2 linked regions of the Lytechinus pictus genome follow. The protein of the gene in region 2 binds, or shares a complex with, the protein of the main gene of each other region. Links are inferred from orthologs where the notes say so. Each region holds a gene or a part of one and is shown on either strand. Other genes may lie near its edges.

Region 1 (3,931 bases), on a different chromosome or scaffold from region 2:
ATGGCTAATTTGCATAAAATGCAAATTTTGTGATTTTCCATATGCTTGTATATTTAAGGACTATTAATATGGTGTTTAGGAAACCTTCCTGTGAGGTATTGCCATATTCCAATTTCAATAGATAATCTACTTGCAATTTTTGAGGGATGTATCACCAGTATGTTTTCTTGAATATTTACAACATGTTAGATACTTTTATTTGCATAATATGCAAATTACACTACATACACTAAGCTGACTACAAATTTATTCAACGTCCTTAGTGATAGCAGCATGTAAATTCCAACATTAATGAAATTTTCAAGCAGACAATGAGAGAAAAATCACAATACCTTGACATTTTTCCATATTAGGATGCTTATTTGCATATTATTCAAATGAGGTAGATTTTTTTGCACTTTTGACAAAAAACATTGAAAAAGTTATTTATCATGAATTTTCGCTCAAATTGAATTGTTTTGGACACTCAATTTGTAATCTTTGGGCTATTTTCCCTATTTTTATAACTTTTTATGGCTAATTTGCATAATATGCAAATTTCATAAATTTCCACTGCTTGGATTTCTTGGGACTTTTAGTATGTTGTTTAGGGGACCTTCCTTGAAAGCATTGCAGTGGAATATCTCGTGTTGCAATTAGTGGTGGGTCAAACCCTATATTGACTGGACTATTATCCAATATTGCAGAATTAGGCATGAATCTCTCCAAAAATTTTTTTTTTGGCCAGATTACTGTAGTACAGGATGCAATAAAACTGTAGCTGTGTACCGTGCAGAAAACACATGGACATTTTTTTTTTTTTTGGGGGGGGGTGCCAATAAAGAATTAGCACACAAAAAATTGACGTTCTTCTATGGGAGTTTTAGCACACATAACAATGCCTTTTTTTAAATAGCTGATTAAAATTTCAAACTTAAAGCCAACAATACTCATGCTGGAGGTTTTGACATGGAGATCTACATGATAAACATGAATCTAGCTCAAAATTTTGTGTTTTCATACTAAAAAGTGTTTGGTTTTTACAGAGGTAAATTGTTATCTATTTCTCCCATTGTATGCACCCCTATAAAAGCAGACAATCAAGACAATTCAATTGACACCCCCTATCATCCTCCCACTTCCCCATCTCAAATCAAACATCTTTTTTCTTTAATAGCTGACGGCCTTTAATATCATGAAATTTGTCACCTCTCTCCTTGTGTGTGTGCACTCGTTGTGTACAAAGTCAATGGGAGTGGAAAGAAGTCACAATAGCTAGGGAAATAAACGGCAGTGAATGGACTGGTGACTGAAACCAGGATAATGGGCCAAGCTGACCTCAACCCCCCCCCCCCCACAAGACTGGTCCCCAACAAAAGTTACAACCTCATCATTATCCATTCTATCAGTCACAAATTCACAATCACATCAATCAGATTCCTGATTTAAGTCCCAGTCCAGTCACTACTGTTTATTTTGTCAGTGCTGGTGACTTCTTTCAACTCCCATTGACTTTGTACACAGCTCACAGCGAGTGCACATGATACAATGCACCGACACACACAAGAAGAGCTGACTTATTTCACGATAGGCCATAACCATAAGGCCCAGATTAACACATTCATTTTTGCAAATGCCCCCTCATTCTTGATTTCTTCAGCTCACTGCCCCTTCAACATTAAACTAGACAGTCTACACAGTACACTTCATTCTTCACATAGAGAAGCCAGTGGCGTGGCAAGCGTACCGCGCAGCCCCTAAACCCAGGGAGCTCAGGACTCGTCCGTGTAATACGAGGCGGACATATGCTCTCCAAAATGGGGTCGCAATAGCACTCAAAATAAAAGGGGAAAATATAAATCATACACTTACCTCGATTACCTAATACATGTAATGTGTATATGGATGAAGCTGAAATGAAGGTCTATCGTGAGACACAGAATCCCGACATCGAGGCACAAACTGGACCCTCAAAAAAGGAAAAGTTCTGTCTCGTTCGTTCTCCTTCTGTCAAAATTGAAAAAAAAATGGCCGATCGACACCGAGAACCAACGCGACAGAGCCTCAGAGGTCTAACTTTTCCTTTTGACAATTGAGGGTCCAGTTTGTGCCTCGATGACCATGTCAGGATTCTGTGTCTCACAATGACAATATTAATTATTTATACTATTTATAGTAGTGACACTAGTACTACTCCATAATAGAGGCAAGTCAGTGCATTATTTATAATTTCCCCTTTTATTCTGAGTGCTATTGGCTTGCGACCCCATTTTGGAGAGCATATGTCTGCCTCGTATTACACGGACGAGTACAAGTCCTGGGCTCCGGCCCGCAAAGCGGGCCGGAGCTCTCTGGGTTACGCAGCCCCCAGTCTTTCCCGTGCCCAACCGCCCCGCCTGGCTAGCCTGTTGACCTACTCATTATCGTCGCTGTATTCCACATCCGAAGCGGTGTCATGATCAACAACTATTTCTGGAGTTGGTAAATTGGGCTTTGATACAGATTCTCCTGAATACTTCACGCGAACATTTGCTCTTCTTTTGGAGCCGTCCATTGTTGATGACACTGTTCTAGATCGTCAACAATCTAGCTTTCGAAATGTTTGTTATTAATTATTTTTCACCCTCCTCAGCATCGCCATCTTGTTTACAAATACCTGTTTGGGAGCCATCAATAGATGGCGGCATACTACTTTGATGATTGGGCAGAGTTGAGGAGCCGTGGTCGGACCGGTGGTCTAAAGCGCCTGACTATTTTGAAAGCCCGAGGTTCGAACCCCAACCACGGCACCAATTTCCGTGAGCAGGGGCGTAGACAACGGGGGGGATGAGGGGGATGCATCCCCCCCACCTCACAAGGTGGGGGGGATGGCATGTACAATCATCCCCCCCAGGTTTTGGGGAATGATATTTGGTTACTTAATAAGTCATAATGATGATAATAATAGTAATAATAATAATGATAACAATTATAATATTAATAATAATAATAATTATGATGATGATAATAATAATCCTCATCATTATTGTAATTGTGTTTATTGTTATTAGCCGCATTCACACGGTGAAAGTCAATTCAGACGGTAAAAAAAAGAAAATCTTACAAGTATTTACTGGGCAGGAACGAAAAGAGGCGCAAGATATTTGGTTTCTATGACACAAATTTGCAAGACTACAAAAGTAAAACTGACTAAGAGACCGATATGTTTGTTTGTTGAGCCATGAATGCTCCTTAAGTAAGTTAACCAACTTACCGCATGTCTCTATTATCTGATTAGCAACTGTTAATCAAGCTGTTTTTGGTATGGGAATGAAGCAACAACTTTTTTCTTTTCATCGAGACTACTTTTCAGGCACGAACCGAGTACTAGCAATACCTTCTCATATATGATATGTATTATATTTATTTATTTATTTATTAGTTTATATCAGATTATATTACAGGTATATGATATTTATACATATATATATACATTATATGCATTTATTTATTTATTTATCTATATATTTATATACACGTTATTTTCTCAAGTCGGTTTTTATTGAAATACATGTGTGGTCTGGCCCACTCGTGTTATAGGCATTATCCATTGTGTGCAAAATGCATCAGCGCAATCTAAAACAGAATAGAAAATGAATGTGATACAACAGTATACATAATAATTCGTGACAGAGAGTACCATACTACTATCTTTATAACAAGTATTATTCAAACAAACATATATAATTATGTATAATCATGAATTGTTCAACTTCATGCTCCCACTATATGACTATTGTTACACTAATACTGATATCAGGACTGACTGGTATACATTAGTTTGTTGTTAAGCTTGCAGCAGCTACATCTTTTCTGTATTGTTAACTATTTATTTATTTTTGTTTTATTTAAGATGCACTTTGTTTTGTATTCATTTAAAGTATGTTGATTGATGCATGAAGACATAAGTTTG
Region 2 (3,931 bases):
AGAGTAAGCATGTGAAAAGGTGAGAATAGAAAGGGGGATGTAGCAAAAATAAAGGAAAGAGGGAAAAAAGGAAATTGAGGGAAAAAAACCCCACAAGTAAACAACAAATTGTAGATTACAAATATAAGAATTATGTGTAACAAAAAAAAAAGAAGGAAAGTGACATGATGGCGATTATAATAGACGAGAGAGTGGGAAAGAGCAACAGGGAGATAGAGGGAGAAGGAGAGAGAAAGACAGAAAGAGATATATAGAAAGGTCAGACAGAATCTGAAAGAAGGACATCATATCTAATCATAAGTTACATAAGTAAACAAAATATACATAGAAAAAAAACCACACGACTTCTATGGCTTGTTTTTTCTGTGCGCAGCGGCATGTAATGAACCCTTGAGTGGATGAGGTCGAGAATTGTGGTGGTAACCATCTGTTGTACATAAATTATAAAATCCTGATTTTTTGGTGAAAAAAGTTCAATGAAAGATCTGATCTCAACTCGTCTCGTCATCGTGAATGAGTGTAATCCGGGCTTGATCATTGATGATCCAAAGTTTTTTCCAAATTCCAGTCTTTTCTATGGTTAAAAAAGAAAATTGGGAATCCCGAAAATTGTATCCAGTCTGTCCAACGCAAGCCAAAAGGTAGTTTGAAAATCAGTAGATCGTAGCGCCGGTCCAAAAATTGGGATTGTCCCAGAAACAAGGTTATCCTCAGACCTCAAAAACCAAGACAACTCGTCATCGTGTCTTGATAAAATGAGATTGTCCTTGTCGGGGACAGTTTTTTTTCTTCACTTACCCCTGCGGGACATAGACGTCAATTACAGGGATATAGTGTGCTAGAAATAGATTCAGTGACCTCAATCCCCCAAGTTCATTGTCTATTCTTCATGACAATAATCTTGTTAATGTTATGAAACCGGATTGACTAGCACACTTGATTGGTGTCTGCACTTGACAGGTGAATGAACTGAATCAATCGGGTAATGAGATGAGGTACAGGTACGGAGTGTTTCCGTCTGAGGCACGAGCTGCACAAGATGTTCTTCAACTTCATTCATGATATGATTATGAATTTATGATGGTGAGATTATGTCACACATGCACTTACCCAATGTATAAGGATTACTGCCATAGGATTTCCATGTGAAACAATTAAACAATTGAATGAAGTTTGAAAAGCTACTTATGGATACTTATTAATATAGATGCTTCTGAAAAGCAGACTTCCACCTTCTCTTTATTCAGATCCAAATTCTTGTATTATTTTTTAGTCAAAATATATTATTGCACCTAAATATACTGTATATAGTTTATACCTTTATTTTTAAAAATAGTTTGCTTTAATGTTCGCTTAAAATATTTTTTTCATTAAAACAATATTTTTTATTTACATTGTAGGACAAAAGATCCCCAGTCACCAATAGAGCCTGGCATTGATGGTAGAAGAAGTAGAAATTAGAGTTATCTATTCGTTGAAAACTTGATTTACTTCAACATGGCAGGGTGTCTGGTTGAGCTGTACATCTGGTCAATGAAAGGTGCTATGGGAATCAAAGGTAAAATATGCTTTCAAATGAACATTAAAAAAGTAACATTGATAAAGAATATGAAAAAATGTAAAATATTTGAAAAAAATTAAAAGTTCTTAATTGATTGTAATAGAGATTAGAGTTTTATAAATGGTTGTTCTTGTTTTACTCCATTGTGTTTGTCAATTTATTCACTACTACAGAGATGCCAACCCTCCCGATTTCATCGGGAGGCTCCCGAAAATTCATCCCAACTCCCGCCCTTACGATTACCATCCTTATCCTCCCGAAATTACGATTTTTTTTTGCATTGATCAAATTGGATTGGAAGTACATGTATCGTCTGCTGACTTTAGCATGTAGTAACTCCATTACGTTTCGCTGCTACTAAATTCTGTGTGAAAGGCAGACAAATAAGGAGCAGCGAAAAGCTGGTGCATGTGATATGCCCAACGGGAATCCACTGTGCACCAGGCCGGTAGGCCTGGCTAGCTTCGCGAGGCGTGTGCGCTCGCGGCCGCTGGATTTGTCGAGTCGTGCGATGGAATATCGGTGTGTGATTTCGGCGTATTGATGGGTTGATATTGACACGAAATGGCGGAAAATCAACAAAAAAAGACCAAGAAATGGTCTCAGAAGTATAAGACTGAAAACAGTCTCCAGTACCCGTGTATTCGGAAAGAGGAATCTACCATGCATTTTGCACAATTTGCAGCGTGGACATTAAAGTTGAGCACGGAGGTCGTGATGATATTCGGAAGCACGTAGGGAGCAAACGGCATACGGACATTGCGAAGACGAGATCTTCGAGCTCCACTAGTACCCTGTTGACTTATTTCACCAAGCAAGGGACCAGCGAGGAGGAAGACGTTACCCGCGCTTTAATAATAATAAAGAGGATAATTCCTTATTATTATAGTTGAACAGGTACTTTTCTTCTATTGTCCCCTCATTTTTTTTACATACGCATATTTGATATTTTTATTTTTATGTCAAAAAAGTGGGAACAATGTTTTTTTAAAAACATGTGAAATGCTCCAAAATAAGGGTCAGATTGCACCAGAGAGCATCTAGAAACCCAGAGCTTCCAGGGCCCTAAGGCGGGCCCTCGACCCCGGCCGCAAGGGTCGAGCGCTCCGCGCTCGAGATGTGCGCTATGCGCACATAATTTGGTGTCGGTTGCAAATCCTCCCTAATTCTGATTTCCAAAAGTTGGCATCTCTGCTAGTATAATAACAATAAAAATATAATAATGATACTACTACTACTACTGCTGCTGCTGCTACTAGTACTACTACTACTAATAATAATAATAGTAATAATAAAAAAATAATGATAATACTATACAGTAACTAATACCCGATAAAGTTGTCAACTTTAATTCTTCCCTTAATTGTTTGACAAGTGAAGATGAATTGAGATGTTATGATGCTTTAAGCATAGAGTGAAAGTTGTAAATCTGTCTGTTGCATCATGAAAGTAATATCTGTTTTGATAGGTGTCTAATTTTATTTTACTATTAATGCCCCTGTTACGTGATATGATAATATATATTTCTTGGCATAACTCATTGAACCAAGATGATATGATAATTAATCCAAACATGGAAATGCACATTGATAAAGTGCTTTTGCATAGTTCATCATTCTATCATCTGTTGTGATAATTTCATATAAAATTTAGATGGAAACATTGGATGCCATAGCTACTATGACAAAGGAGACATGGGTAAGACATAAAGTTTAATAGTTTAATAATTGATAATTAATGATTGGTTAATAAATGATGATATTAACCATAACTGCTGAAGTAATGTATTATTTGTTATACATGTATGACTCTACCTACAGTATATGGTTGCTGGAGGCTTGTTTTTGGTTGTCTATCCATCTGTCTGTTCTGTTGTATGTTCTCTTGAAGTAAAGAACCATTTTAGAAGTTGATTCTACTGTTTTTAATTTTGAGTATTTGAAGATTTAATAAATCCTAATTGCTAACTTAAGTAATATTTTTGTTTATGATCACCCACAACACATGTAGATGGTTGCTAGTGGCATGATTGGGGCCATCGGTATATCCATCCTGTTTATGTTCTCTTGAAACTAAAGAACTAAAGAGGGATTAATTTCAATGTTTTATTGTTTGATAATGATTTATGAAATATCAACCATATCCCAAACAATATCTTTTAATGACTCTGCCCACAGTGGATGGTTTCAGGTCATCCATCTATCTATCCTTTTTTACGTTCTTTCGATAATGAAAGAACCACCCAAGGGGTTAATTTCAAACTTGGTTTATGTATGCATTATTGGAGTGACTCCATTAGAGTCATGTGATAAAAATAATAATTTTGATTTATGAATATTATGATAACAGTTTATTGAAATTATGATTAAA

The links.
Region 1: the proteins of WD repeat-containing and planar cell polarity effector protein fritz homolog (region 2) and protein inturned-like are in contact, whole or in part, in a cryo-EM structure (PDB 7Q3E), measured with the Mus musculus proteins. The link is inferred for Lytechinus pictus from reciprocal best matches to the Homo sapiens genes WDPCP and INTU. Residues at the interface, in NP_663400.2 of Mus musculus: Phe3, Cys4, Leu5, Ile24, Leu51, Ser54, Arg55, Asp56, Lys93, Leu385, Ala386, Glu387, Asp388, Tyr389, Ile427, Lys446, Leu447, Gly448, Ile449, Leu450, Thr451, Arg452, Gly453, Leu455, Leu462, Gln463, Ile465, His466, Tyr467, Gln487; in NP_780724.3 of Mus musculus: Val481, Gln484, Val488, Asp491, Ser495, Asp496, Glu498, Ala499, Ala500, Asp501, Ser506, Glu507, Asp508, Arg513, Arg514, Thr517, Ser532, His533, Leu534, Pro535, His574, Tyr593, Glu610, Gly613, Cys614, Ala615, Ser616, Lys617, Ser653, Pro654.

What each region holds. Positions count from the first base shown.
Region 1 is NC_087249.1:39,380,798-39,384,728, forward strand, and holds the start of protein inturned-like, read right to left. Parts: upstream 2,734-3,931; 5' UTR 2,534-2,733; coding exon 2,397-2,533; intron 1-2,396. UniProt on the Homo sapiens protein: Plays a key role in ciliogenesis and embryonic development.
Region 2 is NC_087251.1:37,388,342-37,392,272, reverse strand, and holds the start of WD repeat-containing and planar cell polarity effector protein fritz homolog, read left to right. Parts: upstream 1-1,475; 5' UTR 1,476-1,497; coding exon 1,498-1,558; intron 1,559-3,214; coding exon 3,215-3,259; intron 3,260-3,931. UniProt on the Homo sapiens protein: Probable effector of the planar cell polarity signaling pathway which regulates the septin cytoskeleton in both ciliogenesis and collective cell movements.